Linked DNA regions of Oryzias latipes. The protein of the gene in region 1 interacts with the protein of each later gene in a pairwise test. Links are inferred from orthologs where the notes say so. Each region holds a gene or a part of one and is shown in the gene's direction. Other genes may lie near its edges.

Evidence for each region. The genes of interacting proteins can lie anywhere in the genome.
Region 2: the proteins of ntrk1 (region 1) and sh2b1 interact in a two-hybrid assay, tested with the Homo sapiens proteins (2 studies listed by BioGRID). The link is inferred for Oryzias latipes from reciprocal best matches to the Homo sapiens genes NTRK1 and SH2B1.

What each region holds. Positions count from the first base shown.
Region 1 is NC_019874.2:29,035,390-29,045,074, reverse strand, and holds the end of ntrk1 (high affinity nerve growth factor receptor), read left to right. Parts: intron 1-4,313; coding exon 4,314-4,499; 3' UTR 4,500-4,593; downstream 4,594-9,685. Other genes in the region: membrane progestin receptor delta, read right to left, coding at 7,135-7,400, 9,107-9,251, 9,380-9,476, 9,561-9,685. UniProt on the Homo sapiens protein: Receptor tyrosine kinase involved in the development and the maturation of the central and peripheral nervous systems through regulation of proliferation, differentiation and survival of sympathetic and nervous neurons.
Region 2 is NC_019866.2:698,871-709,731, reverse strand, and holds sh2b1 (SH2B adapter protein 1), read left to right. Parts: upstream 1-416; 5' UTR 417-595; intron 596-1,702; exon of another isoform or gene 1,703-1,931; intron 1,932-2,377; 5' UTR 2,378-2,661; coding exon 2,662-4,278; intron 4,279-4,348; coding exon 4,349-4,450; intron 4,451-4,635; coding exon 4,636-4,727; intron 4,728-4,807; coding exon 4,808-4,890; intron 4,891-4,958; coding exon 4,959-5,114; intron 5,115-5,957; coding exon 5,958-6,169; intron 6,170-6,884; coding exon 6,885-7,059; intron 7,060-7,880; coding exon of another isoform or gene 7,881-7,971; intron 7,972-8,539; coding exon 8,540-8,844; 3' UTR 8,845-8,958; intron 8,959-9,141; 3' UTR 9,142-10,050; downstream 10,051-10,861. UniProt on the Homo sapiens protein: Adapter protein for several members of the tyrosine kinase receptor family.

The sequences.
Region 1 (9,685 bases):
GTGTGTTTTCGGAGCTGTACAATTTTTTTCCCAATCATTTCAACACCACCTAAATGCAGCATTTCTCAAAATGTGGGTTTGTCCATGAGGGACACGAACCCATCGAGACAATTGGTTCTAAAATGAGAACAAAAGAAACAGTTTTTAAATAAAAACTCTGTTTTAAAATGTATACATCACATTGTTAATCAGAATCAACATATATAGGGGCTCTGGATCTAAATTTTCTGAAATTTGGTCAACTTTCTTAGAACATGTCATGGCCTTGACCTTAGAAATGACCCGTGAACTCTCAAATAAATTAACAGGTCTGACGTGTTTAATGCCTTTGCTGGTCATAGATTGGTAGCACAGTATATTGTTTGTATAATTATTTTATTTGTTTATGTCTTTCTTGTTTTTTTGTAATTGTGGTTTTGAATTGTTTGTTTTTGCTTATTTGAAATATTTCCAAATAAATCCTACATAAAAAAAATAGACAAATATTTTCATCCAAATTCCACATTATTTTTCTCTCTTATAAATTGGGTTAACAAAAACCCTCCGCACATCTGTTCCTGGTCCGGCAGCAGCTGGAGTAAGGTTTACGACCGAGTATTAGAGCCACCATAAAAAAAAAAATAAAAAAAAAATCAATGAATATATTTACAAGAAAAAGCCTTTGTTTCAAAACTAAAGTGGTTCATTTAGTAGATTTGGTGAGATTATTGAGCAGATTACCATCACATTCCTTTGGCTTACCTGCAACGTAAAGAAAATGGGTATCATGCATCACACGCCTGGTGAAGGAGTAGACTTTTGTTTCAAAGCAGTGCATCACCATGGGAACTCCTCACACAGTTTCAGCAGAAAAATCCTTCTAAAGTCTCAGTTTCTGGGTAACAAAAGCTGAAGCAGCTTTTTCTCTTTGAACCTTTCACACTTGTGCCATCTTGTTTTAACATTGGGAGTGGGGTCATCTGGACCCCCCCAAGACAGAGCGCTGAACCTTTTTTCTTAAGTGATTTTTGATTTTCACTGGTGTCCATGGACTCCATGAAATCCTCTCCACCTCTATCCACCTTTGCCATGGACCAAAAAAAAAAAAAAGGTTTGCTAAAGATGGGAAGTTGTCACAGCGTTGTACAAATCAGGTAATACAACAGCTAGTCTCTTCCTGATTCACACAAAATTCAATGTTTGGTTTTCTTGTTCACACACCAACACTGATCCACACCAGGGTTCACTTGCAAGAAAATAAGTGAGGTTGGAACGAAAAAAACAACTTTTCACAGAATTTCAGAAAAAGAATTCGGGGCAAATTCAAAGTTGAGAAAATATTTTTTTTTTAAAGTTTCATGATGAGCAAAAAACATTAAACATGTTGTTTTTTTGTTTTTGCTCCAGCCTGAACCACCTCCACGCTCGCACATCCTCTCTGTGAGGTCGTAGATCTTCCGCACTCTGTCAGTAATCAATACGCTGATAGTAAATAAGGGCAGGCCAGTCTGGCCTTTCCAGCTTAAGCACCAAGAAGAGGGTCTCCACTGTGACCGCAGCAGAGCTCTTCCAGGCCGCCGGCCTCTCTGCCTTTCAGCGGAGGGTGGATCACTTTCCTGCTGCGCTCGATGCTAAGCTGCTTAGCTTCTTTTTAGCTTCGAGCCAATGAGGTGTAACCTTGTTACCCTAATCTGTCTAACCCAATGCGGGGCAGGTGAAACGATCGTGCTGCCTAAATACTCTGTGAAGCAGATAAATTATCATAAATAAGCGAGACGGCTCGTGTGAAGCAAATCCTTTGATCGGAGTCTCCCCAGCAGGTCAACGAACACCAACGCGAAAAGAGGAAACTGTTCGAATCCTTGACGTCCCACTGAGCTCCGAAACATCAGAAAACAGCTTGAAAAGTGCAGAAGTTCTGTTTTTCATTTCAAGAAAAATGGGTTTTCATTCATTTTAGATCAGTTTTTGTGCTTCCAGCATCTCATCTGTGTGTTTTTTTTAGGAAACTTTAGGCTTTCCTTAAATATTTTGAAGAAAAAAAGCATCACAGTTTTCTGCCGTGAGTCTGTCCCTCCATCTAATCAAAGTTTCTGTTACTGAACTTCAGTAAATTTAACGAAAATGTTCCACTTCTTCTGGGACTTCTTGAAGTCACTAAATGAAAAAGATAAAGAAAATGGTATTTGACATTTCATTTTCAAAAAGCATTTTGAAGCGTTGATTTTTCATTTTAATTTTGAGCCATTTGATGCAGTTACATTTTGAAAATGAAAAAGCATTTCTGTTAATCCATTTTAATTGTCAATTAGACATTTCTAAATGAATTTTGCTACACATTTACCAGAGAACTTTTTGAAAATGAAATGTCAAATACCATTTTCTTTATCTTTTTAATTAAGTGACAGAATAAGAGGTGTTGAGGAAGGAAATGAAAAAGCATTTTGGTGGATTGCTTTTTCATTTGAATTTTGATTCAAAAAATGCAGCTTCATGTTGAAAATGAAAAAGCATTTCTGGTTTTGACTTTTATTTTTTAATTATGCCACAGAATCGCTTCCATAAATTGTAGGATTTACAACATAAAGAGTTCAATTTAATTTTAAATATTCTCGGCTTCTTCAGAAAAACTTCAGGCTCAGGCGAGAGACGTGATAGGAAGACAAAACGATTAAAAAACAATCAGACTTTTGTTTTTTGGTAAACCTAAAATAATTTCATTCTAGCTATCAATTCCCTTATACATCTACTTGCTATAAACTGAGTAATTTGTTTTGTTAGATGCACAAACATTTCACATTTAAATAAAGAACAGTCATCTAAAAACAAATGAAAATGTGATTATATGGTTAATCCTGCTGGTCTCTGCAGATTCTGATCTCTTAGAATAAAAAAGTTAAAGAAAAAAATCCAGAAATGGACACGAAAACAGCCCCACTACCCACAATGCTTCACCAGTCGTCTGTGTTATGCTAGAATCACAGATTTACTCTCTAAAATGACTCAATCTGATCTGCTGATCGTGTTGATTGATCACGAGACAAAAGGTAGATGGATTTTCTTCTGGACTGAAAGCTGAACGTCAGTGATCTTCACATCCAAACGGCAGCTGAAGGAGGCAGAGGTCAGAGGTCGCGGCCTCCTCTAAAGAGTCTGCTCCACTTCCGACAGATCTACTTCAGATCTGTCGGAAAAAAAAGATCTACTTCGAAGTCATTTTACCAGAATAGAAGAAAGCAGTACATCAGTTACTAAAGTTTAGATTAGAATCTAAAGCAGAATCAGACAAATTCTGAAGTTTTTAGACACTGGAGTAAAACGGTGGATTCACAGAATCAAGATAAAATGTCACTGACATGGAAAAAAAGCAGAAAATAGAGACATTTGTTGTTTTTTAACAAATGAGTATTTAGTGAGACTTCTGATAGAAATCTTAAGACACGTGGACAGTAAATTATTGGCCCCCCTTCAACTAACTAAAGAAAAACTAAACAAATATAAAGAATTTGTATTTATTATTACTTTTGTTTGTTTCAAGCTATTTCTTTGACCACTGTGAGCTTTTCTTTCAGTAACCAGACAGATACGCTGAAACATTTCTTTTCTGCCGTTTCCAGTGTGATGCTGAAATTAATCTCATAATTGGAACATAGAACAGAAGCGCATCATTTTAGTCCTGGATTATTTATTTTTTTTATCATAAAAGGCACAGAGCCTTTTTCTGCACAGAGAAGACGAAACCATGCATTTGGAAAATGATCGCAGAAATGATGCTGGCCGGACCACGAGCCTCCTGCTCCGCCCCGTTCTGATGCATCGTAGACAAACAGATCCATGAACGTCTTTGTTTTGCTGCAATCTAATGTTAGGTCAGGGTTACTCCACGCCAACGGCCCCGCCCACAACTCAGAGGTGAATTTCTCATGAACTCCTGCAGAAACTATGTCCTAGAACACGACTCAGGTCTTGCTCAATTTAGCTAACAGCAGCATCCTTATAATAAAACAAAAGTAAACACTGGGATGTTTGATCAACAAAGCGGATCTTTAAGCAGGGTAACTGAGTTGTTAGTGACCGTTTTTACAAAACTGTTCTGGATTCGTCGACTTCTTCTACTTACATCACTAAACTGCTGCACGCTCAGACTCTTGGTGTGTTGACATTCACTAAAGTGATGCAATTACAGACTGGGGGAGATGTAATCAGATTTCCTCACCTTCGCAGACACATCGTAGCCGCTTTCGTTCTCTCTTTTGAGAGAGTCTGAACCGTCCCTTCCAGAGAAAGGTGGGTTCTCTCCATCCTGAAGTAATCGGATTCCTCCTCTCCGACAGGCCATTGAATGCATCACGCAGGGGCGGGAGCTGGAGAGGCCGCGCACCTGTCCTAAGGAGGTGTACCAGCTGATGCAGGGCTGCTGGCAGAGGGAGCCCCAGCAGAGGACGGTCATCAAGGAGATCCACAGCCGCCTGCTGGCTCTGGTCAGAACCCCCCCAGTTTACCTGGACATCCTGGGCTGAGGGGCAGTTCACATGTTCACCTGAGTGTCTGTTGGTTTCTGTGCCAGGGGGGGGGGGGGGGGGGGGGGACGGGAGGGGGGCTATGGTTATTTTTAAAGAAAAAAGAAAAAAAAAAAGAGGAAAAAATTTGTTTTCAGGAAGAAAACCTGAGGGAATTATGGGATGTGCGGTTTAGGGGAACAGATGGATTCAGAAGGAGAGGGGCAGATGTCTCTGTAACTGTACGCCTGGGGAAGTTGTGTGTGTGTGGGGGGGGGGGGGGGGGGGTTGCCACCCATGTAAATAGTGGATGTACAGACGGGGGGGGGGCTTCTAAAACCTGTATCTCTTTGTAAATCGTTTGCCCTTAAAGGAATAAACAAAACAGGTTTAAAAATGGAATCGATGCATCACTGTGCAGTTTTTCCAGTGTGATCTATGCTCCCTCTTCTCCTTATGCACCTCCTCTGGACTGAAGGATGCAGGAGGGAGGGAGAGAGGGGGGGGGGGGGTGTTGGAGGACTGTCTTGTGGCGTCTTACAAGCAGATTGAGGACGGATCGGATCAGTGTTTGTCCCCGCAGCCTTTGTGGTTTCAGAATGGAGCTTCTTAAAAAGCACTCGAGGCCCAACCCCGGCTGGGTTTGAAATGCGAGGACAATAAGAGCTGGAAATGAGGCCATTTTTTAAAAATGAAGGTCCTATTAGAGCTTTGCAGCGGGAAACTTTCCTTTTCAGTCCTCCACCTCATCTTATAATGTACGCACACGGGATATTGATTTCTCCCGATAATTATTTCTTTTATGAAAATGCCAGAGCCGATTCATTGTGGTCTGAGCCTGCTGCTAATAATAAACCACTCTGCTCTGCCTGAGAGGCTTTAGAGGTGAAAGAAAAAAACCTAATGAGTCAGAGCAGAAAAAAAGGGGGTTTTAAAAAAACAAACTTCAGCATCAGGCAGACTCCAGAAACGTGAACGAATGCAGGGATTTGTGTGAATCAGGGAGGACTTTTGCCCAGGAAAATATTAGACGGTGATTCATTTGGCCTTATTCTCCTGTTCAGATGAGCTGCAGCTCATTTGTTGACGAGCTGAAGCTCATCTGAGGAGTTTCTGACACAATTCTCCCTGTGCTGCCCTCTGCTGGCCACCCTCGTGCACTGCACCCCATTCTGCAGCTGATTAAAATGTGATTTTAAAAAAATACAAAGCAAATTCAAGCAACAGTTTAAAATTCATCTTTTCCGTTAAAGTCATTTTTAAAATTAAACTCTGCAGGATAAAAACACCTCTGAAAAGATTCACCATGTAACTGCATTGATAAAAGCTTCAGTTTAATTACACAAGCCTTTTAAAGCAAATTACAATTTACACAAAGATCAGATATATGTTTGTAGAGTTTCTTTTAACATTAAATCAGAGACAAGTTGTAAAAAAAAACACCATAAAAAAGGCACAACATGTTTTTCCAACCTCCCGCCTTCCCTCGGACACATCTCCAAACGCCGTCAAATCCACAGATTACCACAGGTCTTTCCACGATTCAGTGTCAGGATTCTTTTTGTTTGGATATTTTGGTGAAAATTCTGCTCAGAAACCAAGAGACTCTGGAGCAAGTGAAGGCAAATGCTGCTAAAGGAAAGTTCCCCTGGGATTCTACACTTTCCAAAGCTCCATTCCCACCAGACCACCTGCTTTTCCCTCCGAGCAAACCTCCGTCCTGACCGGCTGTGGAGAGCTAGTTAGTGTGTGTTAGCAGCTGGTTACTGAGACCGTTTTGTGCCGTTTGGAACAGTTTGTGTTTGGTACGAACCTCAAACACCGACGTTTTTCTGTCACTGGCCTGAAAAAGTGACAACGGCATCCAATGGAGCCACTTTGATATTGAGCTTTCACCAAACACAAGTGAAGGTTCATCTGAATTTAAATGATCTACATTTAAATTAAAATTCCCAAGTTTTTCCCCAAACACTTTGACTTGAATTTAAAGTTTTAAAGTAAATATTTTGCTTTCCCCCCTTTTTTTTTAAAGATTTTAATTATGATCAAAAATAGCTTTTAGGATGAGTTTGTGAGATTTTCACTGAGTTATTTAGAAGCAGCAATAAATATAAAATGTCTGACTTCTTTTATTGTGAAATGTAAACGTAGAAATGAGTTGTTAATGTTGGTTAGAGACCCGAAGCACCACAGAAAGGTCTGAAGTTATTCAGCCTTCTATCAAAAGTCAATCACAGTTTTGGACAGAAACGCCACGCCAGGTTTTTTTTTTTTTTTTTTTTTAGCTTTTGGCAGATTTCCGTGTGAGCTCAGAAGAACGGGGAACGCTGTGTTCAAAAAGTGGTGCCTGTCCTTTAATCACCGCCTCGCTGGACGTCTCCGAGGGCAGATCATGACAAGGAGGCAATCAGAAATGGAAGCGTCTGACAATCAACGCCGGGCTGGAGCGCCGTAGATCCAATCTGCATTAGATTATAAAGGGTGAGGAGAGACGGAGTTTCTGCAAACCCGGCAGCAGCGTCCTTCGACCCGCAGACGGGTCATCGGCTTCTGACCGGACACAAACACAGGGAAACGTCAGTCTGTGGAGCGGGAACACCGCCGGCCGGGACCTCCTTTGGAATGTAAGGAAGCTGCTTTGTGGGAAGCCCCGCCCTCACTGCTCCTTGCACCCGCAGGTGGGGGCGTGCTGCTGGCCGCAGCTGGGGCGGGGCTTCCACAGCAGGAGCGCGCTGAACACGGCGATGATGCCCAGGTTAAGGACAAAGCTGAGGACGAGGGCGCCGAAGGTGCTAAGGAAGGACGGCGCCAAGCCGTGGGTCTGCAGCCACTGGCGCCGCGACGACATGTCGGCGAGGACACCCTCCATCTGGAAGTGAGTTCCCACCACGGCGCTGACGTGGAAGAGCTGGTGACTGTGGCCTGAAAGAGCCATCGCCACACAACAAGTCAAGCAACAGGACATACCAGAAAACTCCATTTCCCAGAAGGCATCAGCAATTTCCGCTATTATTATAAATAAAGATTACGTCAATTTTTTTTTAAAATTTAGATTATTAAATTAAATCACACTATCTTTGACCCCCTGGGGGAGCGGGGAGCTGCAGACACAGCTGCTCTCTGGAACATTTTCGGTGGATTTAACCCCCCAATCCAACCCGTTAATGCTGAATGTCAAGCAGGGAGGCTTTGGGTCTTTGGTCTGACTCGGTTGGGTTTGAACCCACAACCTTCCAGTCACAGGGTGGACACTAACCACAGGGCCACTGAGCTGGCATTAGATATTAGATGAAGGTTTTGTGAAAATTACTTTCATTTTGATCATCTGAGTTTCTTCTTTTGCCGTTAAGGTTCCAAAACAAAATAGAAATGTCTGTTAAATAAAAAAGACAATTTTGATTCTTGGGTGTCGATTGTTCAAAGATCTGCAGGGAAAACAGAAAAGAAGATAGAATTTGACAGAAAAAATGACGTTTTTAACTCGTCCTTTTCTCTTTCACCCCTCCCTTTTTTTAAAAACTCATTCTAAAGAGTCTAATGGACTTGATAGGGGCGTTTTAAAGGCAATGTATGAATTATGATTATTATTTCAAGGTTTGTAGCTTTTGGAACAAAAGTTTGAGAGAAATCTGTTTCTAATCTTTTGCAGATGATTGTTTTTTGGTTCCTTCAGCTAAAGAAAGAAAAGCATTTTCTGTACTATTTCACTGAGAAGAAGTGAAAAATGTCTTATATTTAGACTTAAATGCTAAATATGCTAATCTAAAAATATGAAAAAGAATCTAAAAAAGTACAAATGAGCAAGAAGTGTTGGTGTTAAATCAAATAAAAGAGGACATTTTAAATAGTAATGCTTTTTTTCTCAAACAAAATGAGCCTTTGCAGCTGGAAGAAAGCTAAAATGGAGTTTAACATTTAGATGAAAGGCTAAAAACAACATTTAAAGACAAATATTAAACTGGCCAAAGAAAATGTACGACAGATAAATATGTTGAAAACTGTTTTAGTATATTCTAAATTACAGAAAAAAGCTGAAATTTTCAAAATAAAGCTAAACATTTTAAATAAAAACTTCATTTCAACAAAAGAGGCTCTATGATGCTGAACAACGATCACATGGAAACTTTAAAAGCTTTTAAAAAATAGAGTAAATATGCTGAAGAAAATGGAATAAATTCATATAAATCAAAATAAGGGGAAATGAATTCAGTTTAGCAAAGCTGTTTGTACAAATAAATACTGCAAGCTCATTTAAATAAAATAAAAAAACAGACGAATGCAGAAACAGCTACAGAGAAAAGGCCAAATCGTCTGAAGAAGGTGAATAAAAGTTGAAGAATAAATGGTGTCAAAGATCAAAAACCTACAAATGTTAAACAGACACTGAAAGGAGGGAAGGTTTGCTAAAAAACAAAGACTTTTTTTTTAAATTGCCTCAAAAAAAGAGGAAACAAAAGCTCAGACACAGTTTATTTTATGGGTTAAAAACCAGGACAGGTTTCAAATGTGGTGGAGCTTTTTTCTAGACTTTAAATGAGAGGCAAGTTTAAAAAATAAATAATTCGGCTGCAGACCAGATTTAGAAGGACTCAAACCCGCCGGCTTTCATTAAACTGCATGAATCTCACCGAAATAGTCGAAGCGCCCGGGGGCCAGCCTCTCCGGGAGGTGTGCGGTGAACAGGAAGCAGGTGAGGAAGGCGAAGAGGAGGTGGTAGCAGTGGTTGGACAGGGCTTCACCCAGGCTGCAGCTTCCCCAGCAGGAAAGAAGGACCTTTAACGTTTACAAACCACAGATTATTAGATTACAACTTTCGTAACAAAGGAAAGCGGATTAGGGGAGTTTTGCAGGGATTAGAGGAGCAAATCAGATTGCGAGTCTGAGCGCTGTGAGGAACTCACCCTGTAGAACAGAGGAACCGTGTCGAACAGGAAGGGGACGACGAACGCTCCCGTTCTCAAGGCTTTGCTCCTCTGGGGGAACTGCAGCTCCACAAACCTGCAGAGCCACAAAGACGGCAGGTCGGCTTTAAGCGCACAAACTGTCCAGAGCGCCTCCTGCGTGGCGGCCGCAGCGTCTCACCGCGAGTAGCAGGACATGCTGGTGCAGAGCAGGCTGTTCCCTATGGCGATGGGGATGAAATGCTGCTGGATCCAGCTGTTCACCCAGCAGTCCGGCATCACGTAGAATCCGTAACTGATGGCGCA
Region 2 (10,861 bases), on another chromosome or scaffold:
ATTAACATTTGTAATTCTTTTGGACTGCTGACATAGACTCGCATTTTCTCTTTTTATTTTTTTATTTCATTTTATTTTTTATTCCCTCTTGTGTTTGTTATTAATAATTAGAATTTTTTAAAGAATGTAACATGTTTGTTCTGTATTCAGAATTCTATTGTACATCATATGTGCATAATTGTTGTATTTTCTTGTTTTGTATGTTGCAATTGTGCAATAAAAAAAGTCGCATCTAGAAAAAAAAATTAAATACTTTTATTTTCCATTTTAGCAACATTTTTAGAATTCGTACTTGAATTAAAGTACACCATAATCTGTCTTTTCGGCTGAAGAACATCACGTTTTTAATTTTACATTTTTAACGTCATTCACGTCGTCTGATCTGATCTGATCAGCGGCCGTTTGGACTCGCTCACCCCTCCGCAGATCCCGCGAGACCTCGAGCCAGTGCGAGAAGATCAGGAGCAGAGAAGCTAAGGCGACATTGATATTTAGCAACAACAACAGCTGCTTTCATGTCTGTCCCGCCGCGCAGGTTGGGGCAGCGCTGAGGGGCTGCAGGCGCGCGTGACCAGGTGTGGGCCGCGGTGTTCAGGTACGACTCTCCGTCACGATAAAGGCGATAGCCGACTAGCTTGTTTATTAATAACCAGCCCGCTGGCTAACAGTTAGCTGCGCTCGTGGAGAATGTTTGTCGTCGGGATTGGAAAAGTTCTCACGTGAGCGACAGGTGAGAGGGAAAAAAAACACACAGGAGTGGTCACGGAGGGCAGATATCGATGCTCGGGACGGGGAGTCAAAGCTGACCATGGGGATCGAACCTTAGTAGGCTAACACGTTTGTGGGACGCTGAACGAGCAAAAGATGTGAGCGGCGAACCTACAGCTGAGCTCCAGCGTCCAGAGCAGCGAGGATCTGCGGGACCTCCCCAGGTCACGGCCCTCACCTGGACCTCCCCAGGTCACCGCCCTCACCTGGTTGCTCCACACTCTACACCTGTGACTGGACCGGAAGGAGGCAAAGTCCTGATTGACCCTGAATCAGGACTGAAAAACGGTTTGACCATCAAAATCCTGCGTTTCTACGCACTAATTGAAAAAAAACAAACTGCTTTCCATGTTTCTCAAAGTTCTGCAGAACCGGCTGATCTTTAAAACATTTATATAGACTTGTGTAGTGAGGAATCGAACCCGGTCAGGGCCACGCGGGGCTGAACGGATCTTCCTCCTGAATGATTCCGTCTTTTCTTGAAGCTGACATGAACGGGTCCTCAGAGAAGGTCAGCCTCTGATCCTCAGCTGCACGCTGTGCAGGAACCAGCAGACGTCTCATCAGCAGAACCTAGACAGAAGGTCATGATGATGCTGTTGACAGAGAAGAGGGCTAAGAACAGAACCTAGAGGAACCCGGTACGAATAGGACCAGATCTGCCCCCCTGCCCCATGATAGACCCAGTCTGAGGAAAATGAAGCTCCAAGCTGTTTGAGTATTTTTTTATTCAAAGAGTAAATCAGGAGCTGATAAAAAAGCAGTTTGAAGAAGCTTGTAGGTGTGTGACCAACAAGGGCGGGCCGTAAGCTTCCTGCTCCGCCCCTTTCTGATCAGACAGACAGATCCAGAACGTCTTTGTTCTCCTGCTCGAGCTGGAATCTGGATCTAAGCTGGACGGCTGCATAGATGCCATGTTGCTGCCATTTCTGTAGCACCGCTAATGTTAGCATGGGGGTGTGAGGGGCTGTAAGCTAGTGAGACACAGGATAAACAAAGGGATGCTGGGAAATGAGGGCAGGCTTACTCCAGTGGAGAGAGGTGAGCATTATCGCTCGTGTCTTGTCATCAGCAGTCAGCGGTAGAGGAGCAGGAGGGCGGGAACGCGTCCTGGGGTCTTCGCCGGCGCTCGCAGTCAGCTCTGAGACGTCTCTGATCTCCAGGTGAAGCCGTGTTTTCCTCTCTGCGGTTCTCAGAGCGGTCCTTCCATCCCAGCTCAGTCAGGACCTGCGGGTCCACAGGTTGTCTGAGCAGGTAGAGAGTCCGGAGTTCTGTTGGGCTGACGTTCACAGCCGGAACACGGAACCGACTGGATTCATTTCCTTAAAGCGTGTCATTGTTTAACCTGAAAGGAGGAGGAGCTAATGTTTAGAATTATTATCACTCATGAACACAAATAGGAAACAGATTTTATCAATCTGTCCAGTTCTGTTGGTTCAGATCAATTCTATTGTTGTTGAATTTAGCCCCGCCCCTTTTCTGCAGAAGAGAACATGGTTGTCTTCAGGACATCTACCCCCCCAAACGCAGTGACTTTTCTGCGTCGTTTAGTCCCCGACACACAGAGATTTCTTCAGATTCTCTGAATCTCTTTTGGTCTCTTCTGCAGGATGATTCTCCGCCTCTCCGGCCGCATGTCAGAGGATGAAGACGGGACGCTCCTCGTGAATCATCATCATCATCATCGTTTCCCCGTCCTGCTCCAGGACCAGAGGATGTAGCAGACAGCTGCAGGTCTCCGCCCCCTTCAACCGCGTCCTGTGGGGGTCCGCCCCTCGTCTTGGTTTTAGACCGGGGGTGCCGTGCGACTTTAGGCGTTCTGTGTTTGCCGCCGTTCGTTGCCACGCCCCCTTTATTTGTGATTGAAGTGCAGCTCAGCTGGCCGGCCTAGAGATGAACGGTTCTCTTTTGACCCCCCCCAGCCCGAGGGCTACAAACTCCTCCCCTTTACCGCCCTCGCCTTCCCCGTCTCCGTCCCCCCCGTCGCCGTCTTTGCTGCCGCTATCCCCCCGCCCCCCCCCTCTCCCACCTCTCGTGAGCCCTCCATCCCAGACTCACCCCTCCTCCCTTTCGGACACCCCCACACCGTCCCCGTCCCCCTCCCTCAGCTGGACCGAGTTCTGTGAGCTCCATGCGCGAGTTGCGGCGGGGGACTTTGCTCGCCATTTCCGGGCGTTCCTCCTGGAGAACCCCCACTACAGCACCGACTCGGCCGCCGCCTTCTGCCGCCGCTTCACCGACCGCTTTGTGCGCCACTTCCAGAGCGAGCTGGAGGGGGGGCCGCCGCCCAGCCGCAACGACATGGTGAGCTGGGCCCCCCCGTCGGACGCCACCTCGCTGGAAGAGGAGGAGGTTTCGCCTTTATCTGCAGCGGCGGGGGCCACCCCGCCCCAGGCCTCATCCCGACCCGAACCGGCACGGCTGGTTCTGGAGAACCGCGGCGGGGACAAGTTCCAGGACTCCCACGGACAGGCCCTCCCCCCATCGTCGTCCTCGTCGTGCTGCTCCTCGGTGGGGGGCAACAACGGGCGACGGGAGGAGAGGGGCGTCACGTTCAGCCCCGGGAACGGGGAGGGGCCCGACGAGGACAGCTGGCCCGGTGTGGCCTCCATCGGGGAGGAGCCTCAGGAGTCCGGGGAGGCCGACCCCTTTCCTCAGGACCCCTCCCCCTCCGCGGTTTCGTGTAAAGAGACCCCCATCTCCTCCAAAAACAAACTGAAGAAGCGCTTCTCCCTGCGCAGCGTGGGCCGCAGCGTGCGCGGGAGCGTGCGCGGCATCCTGCACTGGAGGAGCTCCTCCAGCGACTCGGGTCAGAACCAGCTCTCCCCCAGCTACAGCTACACCATGGGGGTGCAGGACGCCGGCCTGGGTCCCACCACCAAAAGGACCTCCGCCACGCAGCCCCCCACCCCCACCTCCTCCATGCCGGTGTCCCTCTCCATGCCTCTCTCTCTTCCTCACTCCTCCTCATCCTCACTGCCCCCATCCTCCTCCAGCAGCGCCACCTCGCTGTCTCTGTCGGACGCCGCCCGGGACCGCCGGCGGAGCAACGGTGAGGGGGGGGAGAAGGACAAGTGGAGCCATCGTCTGGAGAAACTGCGGCTGTCCCGGTCCCCCCCTCCCGTCCTCCTGCCACCCCCCGCCGGCTCCAACCCCTCCTCCATGCTGCCCCCCAGCAGCGCCGCCGCTGCGGGTCCTCAGAGGAAGGTGGGCCGGCTGATGCGGGAAGGCGGAGTCAGTGTCAGCTCCTCCAGCGAGGAGCTGGGAGGAAGCCACGCCTTCTCCGGCTTCTCCTTTGGCCTCCTGCACCACGGCACGGACAGCAACAGCGTGGCAACGTCGCCGACCGCCGCTAGCCAAGGAAGTCAGGCGCCGCTCCTCGCCAGCGGGGGGAACGTGCCCTGGAGCGGGGGGCGCTGGCATAAATGTCGCCTCGTCCTCAGAGCGAGGGACAGGGAGGGGGGAGAGCGGGGAGAGGAGTACTACCTGGAGTTCTTCATCCCTCCTAAAGTAAGTTCTCGTCAGAGCGAACGGAACTCGATGGCTTCTGCTCTGACTCCGCCCACGTCTGACTCCCCAGGCCTCAAAGCCCCGGCTGACCGTCCACTGCTGCTCCATCACGGAGGTGAGGAGCACCACGGCGCTGGAGGTCCCGGACAAGGAGAACACTTTCCTGCTGCAGGTGAGTCGGATTCCGCTCAGGTCCAAGCGGGTCGATGCCGGCGCGGCGTCTGTCGGTGACGGACGCATCGACCACAAACCAGCAGATCAAAAGTTTCATCTTTATTTCCCAAAAAAGATCCAACCTGAACGTTGGTCTTTGATGTGAAAACGTTTGTGTTTCTGCTCGCCGTCGTCTTTTTCCAGCTGGAGGGCTCAACGCAGTACGTGATCGAAACCCGAGACGCCATTCAGATGAGGGCGTGGCTTAGTGACATCAGGAACGCCATCTGCATCAGGTACTCATGTTTTCTGCAGATCCGCTCTTCTTCCAGAACCGTCGGTTCTGAAGTCTTTCCCTGCTTCCTGTCCGCCACAGTGAACAGGAAGACGCAGAGGGGGGCTGCCGGGGGCCGCTGGACATCAGCGGGACGCCGGAGGCTGGCGAGCGTCTCTCACAAAGTGAGTTTGGCGGTAAAGGGTGTTGCATGTTTCCTCTGCAGCACGTTCACCGCCTCCTCCCTCCCCAGTCTGTTACGGGGGCATCGGGGGCTTCCTGCCGCTCATGGACCCCCTCCCGCCAGAGCTGCCGCCTCGAGCCCCTCTGGACGAACCGGATGGCAGGATTCTCGGGGGAGGCGGGGCTAGCCTGGGCACGCCTTTTGCAGAGACGCCAGACGCCACAGGTGAGTGTGATGCCCCGCCCCCTGTGAAACGTGACCCAGGAGGGTCCTGAAGGAAGAACCAGATGGTTATGGAGGGACGTTTGTGCCAATAGTTCACACATTTACAAGTGTGAAGCGGAGCAGCGGATTGGAGGTTTTCTGACCAATCAGCATCCATGTCTGTGATTGGCCGGTTTTTGTGGCTCTAAATAGTTCTATTTGCTCCTTTAATTGTCTTTTGGTTGTTGCTCTTGAAATACTGGCACTAAAATTAGAAAGAAAACTCCAGGAATGTAAGAATCTATGAAGCTAAAACCTTTTCTGTAACAGCTGCTGTTTTCTATTTTTTCATTTCTTAATTTACAGTTTCTATTCAGAACTTTGTGTTTTTGTAGTTGAGCTTTAGTGGGGGCGGAGCTTTGAGTCCATTGGCTGATTGACATCAGAGGTCATTTCCGCTCCAGAAAGGCGTCTGTTGTTGGCGTCAGCAGTGATATTTTCTCAGTTTGGTACGTCAATCACGTCCCGCTGGCCGATGGACTTAAAGCCCCGCCCCCACTTAGGATCAACCCTGAAAACGTCAAATGTGCATTGAAGCTGTTAATTATGCTTCTGATGCAATCGAGGCTGGTCTCAAACGTTTCTATGGCAACCACTCTGGCCAATCAGGCGTGAGCTTGTTGGAAAGCCCTCCAGCAAGGGGTGTGGCCTTTGCTGGAGGGCCTGTCAGTAAAAGTTTTTAATGTTGTGGGGGCCAGCAGGCTCCACCTACTTTTTTCGAGGAATCTGATTGGTCCGTTTAAAGCCAGTTCTGATTGTAGAAGCAGCAGCTGATGGCGGCGTCTCTTCCTCTGTGACCTCCAGGGTCGTTCCTCTTCTCTGATGTGGCGCCCGCAGAGGCGGTGGAGCACCCGCTCAGCGAGTGTCAGTGGTTCCACGGGACGCTGTCGCGCCTCAAAGCCGCCCAGCTGGTGCTGGCAGGAGGCCCGGCGAGCCACGGCGTCTTCCTGGTCCGCCAGAGCGAGACGCGGCGCGGGGAGTACGTCCTGACCTTTAACTTCCAGGGCAAGGCCAAGGTGAGTGCAGGTGTAGACAGGAAGAATCACAGCGGCCAGATTCAATCAGCAAACCTTTATTTAAAACAGTTCTAGTGAATCCTTTTGCCATCATCAACTCCTGAACCTCGAAAGTTTACATCCAGTCTGGACATTCTTTGAATGACCGTGAATCTGTCAACGTGACTCCAACGGATTCTGACGCAGATAGAAGCCGCTTTTCTCTGAATCCTGTTAGATTTTAGATTTGCTGGCGGCAGCACAGATACTACAGCCTTAAAACGACGCTCCATGTCCTCCGCCAGTCCTGAAGGAGCTCCATGGGTGTTCCTGCGGTGGGCGGGTGGAGCTGGTCAAGCCCCGCCTTCGACCCTCGGTGGTCGAGGTTGGCCCCGCCTTCGACCCTCGGTGGTCGAGGTTGGCCCCGCCTTCGACCCTCGGTGGTCGAGGTTGGCCCCGCCTTCCCTGCAAACACGGATACATTTTCCTTGTACTTTTATGAAAACCGCGCATGCATCAGAGATAATTTCTGTAGGATAATTAAGCAGAGCGTTCGACCTCTGATCTGCAGGTTTGATTCCTGCTCAGCCTGATGATTGTAGCACAAATGTTTCCAACATGAATCAGAGATGTGCCTTCAGCTGAACAGCAGTCCTGCAGGAACGTCTCCTCTCCAGCTGGGCCTGCGGTTCTGCAGAAGCTCTGTTCTCACCTGCGGTTCTCCCGCCTCCTGCAGCACCTCCGCCTGTCCCTGAACGAGGACGGGCAGTGCCGCGTGCAGCACCTCTGGTTCCAGTCCATCTTCGACATGCTGGAGCACTTCCGGGTGCATCCCATCCCGCTGGAGTCGGGGGGGGCCTCTGACGTCACCCTCATCAGCTTCGTCGGTGCTACCGCCATGCGCCAGCCAGGTATGTGTGACGGCGCCGTAGGGCCCACAGAAACTCTTTGAAGGTCTGGACCCGTGCTGCCCGGGCCGGTCCAGGAACCAGGTGGTGTCGGCGGTCGACCGTGTTCAAGCGTGTGGCGTCCCGGAGGAAACTCTGTACCAGTTTCCTTATGAGACCAGTTCACTGCGGTGCGTGTAAACACCAATGTTGGAATCTTCATTCATGTCCGTTTACACACGCTTTAGTGACCACACAGTCACGTGACCCTCTGACGGCGCCGGAAGCGGGCCTGTCCTGATCCTTTGTGAGGAGAAATCATTAGGAACACCTTCAGCCCGACCCCTCCCTGCTCCTAAACAGGAAGTGCCGTTGTTTCCTGATACGGGTGGCGCCGTGTTGAAATCAGTCACTCGACTAGTTGCAACTGGGCGGCGCCCGTATCAGGAAGCAACGGCGAGGGGGGCTGGGGTGTCGTCACCTCTATTCCTGTTCCTGGTGAGCTGGCAAGGGTCAAAGGACTGTTGGCCCAAAACTGTGTTTCAGGCAGACCCACAGTGGCGAGTCGGACCGGACCCGCCGCCTGTGGGTTGTGTTGACTGCTGTGCATCGGTTCTGCTGTCACTGGAAGCATCGAGGCGGATCAGAACCTTTGCAGCGTGTTTGGGATTGATGTGTAGCATTTGCATGCAGCCCATAATGTCCTCATCATCATCATCACACTCCTCATTTTCCTGATTGTGTTCCGACCGGCATGGACACGGCGGCTGCAGAACCGGCGCCGTTTCCGTGCTGCCGCGGCCGTTCTGACCTCTCCTTGTTGTATCATTGGCTCGTCCTTACAGGCCGGGACAGGGCGGGCAGCCGGCCTACAGTCTGTGATGTCATCACCACGCGCCATCCCGACTCTCCATCAACCCCCATCTCTGACTGTGTGTAAGTGAGACCGGACGCGTGTGTGGCTGACTGAACATTCTGGGTCACATGACTCCTCAGAGCCAATCAGATTGAATGTTACTGGTTGACTTCTGGAGTAGTAGATCATAGACTGGAACCGGGTCAGATCTAGTTGGTCCAGATCTACATCTCTAATCAAGGGGGCGGAGCCATCTCTGAGGACATCAGCTGTTTCCTGTCGGTCCTTGCTCCACGTCTGTGCGTAGAATCTCTAGTAGATGCGGCTCCCCCTCGTCTCCTGGTAGTGGGCGGAGCTTCAGTCCTCCTCTCTGTGAAATCTGGACTCCTCTGGTGAGGAGGAGGACTCTGTCTCCGCCTCCTGGTCGTTACTCCTCGCTTCTCTCTCGCTTTATCTACATGTGCCTCCTGCACACACATGGAGTTCACAGCATCTCCTCCCTTTGGTTCTGGATCAGACCAGAACCAGAACCTCAGAGTTCTGCTGTAAGTGATCTGGGAGAAAAGCGCTTTGAGGAGGCGTCTGACTCCATGCTCCTGTCCTCCTTCTCTTTTCTCCCTCTCACGCCTCCTTTCTCTCTCCTGGCAGACTTGACCAGCAGACCCCGTAGCCCCCCCCAGCCTCCTACGCTACCGCCGGGCCGGCCGCCGCCACCGACTCCGCCCCAGGAGAGAGGAGAACTAGAGCTGGCAGGAGGAGCAGTGCCTGCAGGGACAGTAGCAGCCACAGGAGGAGGAAGTGGAGGCAGCGGAGGAGGAAGTGGGGGAGGATCAGACGAGTGGGAGGAGAGAGAAAGAGACACGCCCCTCCGCCAACTAGAAGCTGTGGAGGGGGAGGAGAGGGACGGCGCGCGGGCTCCTAGAGCCATTGATAACCAGTACTCCTTCTTCTGATGCTGGGATGGAGGAGGAGCACGTTTGTTTGTGTGCATGCGACTGAGCGAGCGTGGATGAGGCGTCGTACATCATAGCCATTTGTAACCAGTATTTTTATTTAGCTCGGTGCAGGAGGAGGAGGAGGAGGAGGAGGAGGAGGAGGAGGAGGAGGAGGAGGAGGAGGAGGAGGAGGAGGAGGAGGAGGAGGAGGAGGAGGAGGAGGAGGAGGAGGAGGAGGAGGAGGAGGAGGAGGAGGAGGAGGAGGAGGAGGAGGAGGAGGAGGAGGAGGAGGAGGAGGAGGAGGAGGAGGAGGAGGAGGAGGAGGAGGAGTAAAGTACTAACACTATGAGGGAAGGAGGAGCAGACAGGAGCAGCTTCACCACTTTAACTATCCGTACATTTCTTTAATCTTTTAGCCAGATAAGCTTGTTTTTGCCGGTGCGCCTCAAAGCCGGCTCCCCCTGAGGGGCTGGCGGACCCCCATACCTCACAGCAACCACGGTCTGCAGACATTTCTGCCACGGGGGTAGACCCCCCCCCCCCGGCGCAGCACGGACTCACCTGTCTGCCGCCTGCGGCTGCAGCTCCAGACCATCCAGAACGCCAAACTGAAGGGAGCACAACCGCGCTCCCTGAGGTCCCCCATCCTGCAGACCACCTGATCGGGACCCCCCCCACCCCCCTGATCCAGGTGGAGCAGGCGGGTTTCCTGCAGAGTGTTTGAGACGGGTCCAGTGACCTTTGACCTCTAAAGACAGGCTAGAACCAAGATGTTTGAAGCCCGACGGCGGTTGAGCCAGAGAAGATCCGGGACGATGGTCCCGTTGTGGAACCCAACGCTGATGGAACCTGCTGTAGACGGTTGGCGATCTGGGCGTGGCGCTGCATTCTCCTCTGGATGGTTCCGGTGGTCCGGATGGAGGTTCTGGTTCTGCTCTCATACCATCGTTCAGTTCTCATGCTTCTGTGCCTTTTCTTTTCGTTTTGTTTGGGGGGGAACCCCCCCCCCCCCCCAGTCTGTTTCCAGGTGACCTTTGTATTTGTGCCTTTCTCTGTCTGTCGTGCTGCCCCCCCCCCCTGTCCTGTTTAACTCTTCGTGCCTTTCGCTCTCTTCTCTCTTGCTGGGACCGTGTGGGGGGGGCACAGCTGTCTGCCCCCCCGTGTGTTAGTTTCAGGTACTACATTGAATTTAATGATATAATATAAATATAGTGAAACATGGAAGCTGCTGTGCTGCCTCCTTTGTTCTGCACGAGCCTGGAGGCGGAGCCTGGAGGATCCAGACTCTGAAGAGTCCTTCGCCAACTAAATGTAAACATTTGATTTAGTCTGTAACCCTTGTGCTATCTTAGATGACCCCCCCTCCCATTGACGTGTTCTCCCTACCATGACAAAGGTGGAAAGATTTCATGTAATCCATGGACACCAGTGAAGATCCTTGAAGAAAAAAGGTTCAGAGCTCTGTCTAGTGGGTCTAGATGACCCACCAGTGCCTAGGATAGCACAAGGGGTAAACATGTTTAACATGCCTCCCACTGAACTGTTTTTTTTTTCATTTCCACATGTATAAAACATACTAAAGGTTCTGTTTGCAAACATGTTTATTTCTGCCACAGAGGAAAGTTTGTGTTTTGGTTCTGAGTTTTCAGTCTTAAAGAAAAACAACCAGGTTCCCAAAAACTTGACCTTTAACCTTTAACAAAAAACCACTACAAACACACAAACGTAGCTTTTAATGTCCTTTATTATTCAAACATTTGTCAGACGTCTACATCGATGGAGGAACTATTGTCCAATAAGATCATACAGGTGAAGAAGTGGGCGGAGTCTCTAATTGCTGACCACCTGTTCGCTCTTTAAAGGAGGAGAGACCTCACCGTTGCCATGGTAACATGAACGGGGAGAATTGTGCTCACATGCATACATTGCTATAATAAATTATACACACACTAAACACAACGTTGACCTTTCACCTTCAGGTGGGGGTTTTCATGGCACAGACGAGTAACATCAAGAAAGTCCTCCCCGTGGATTT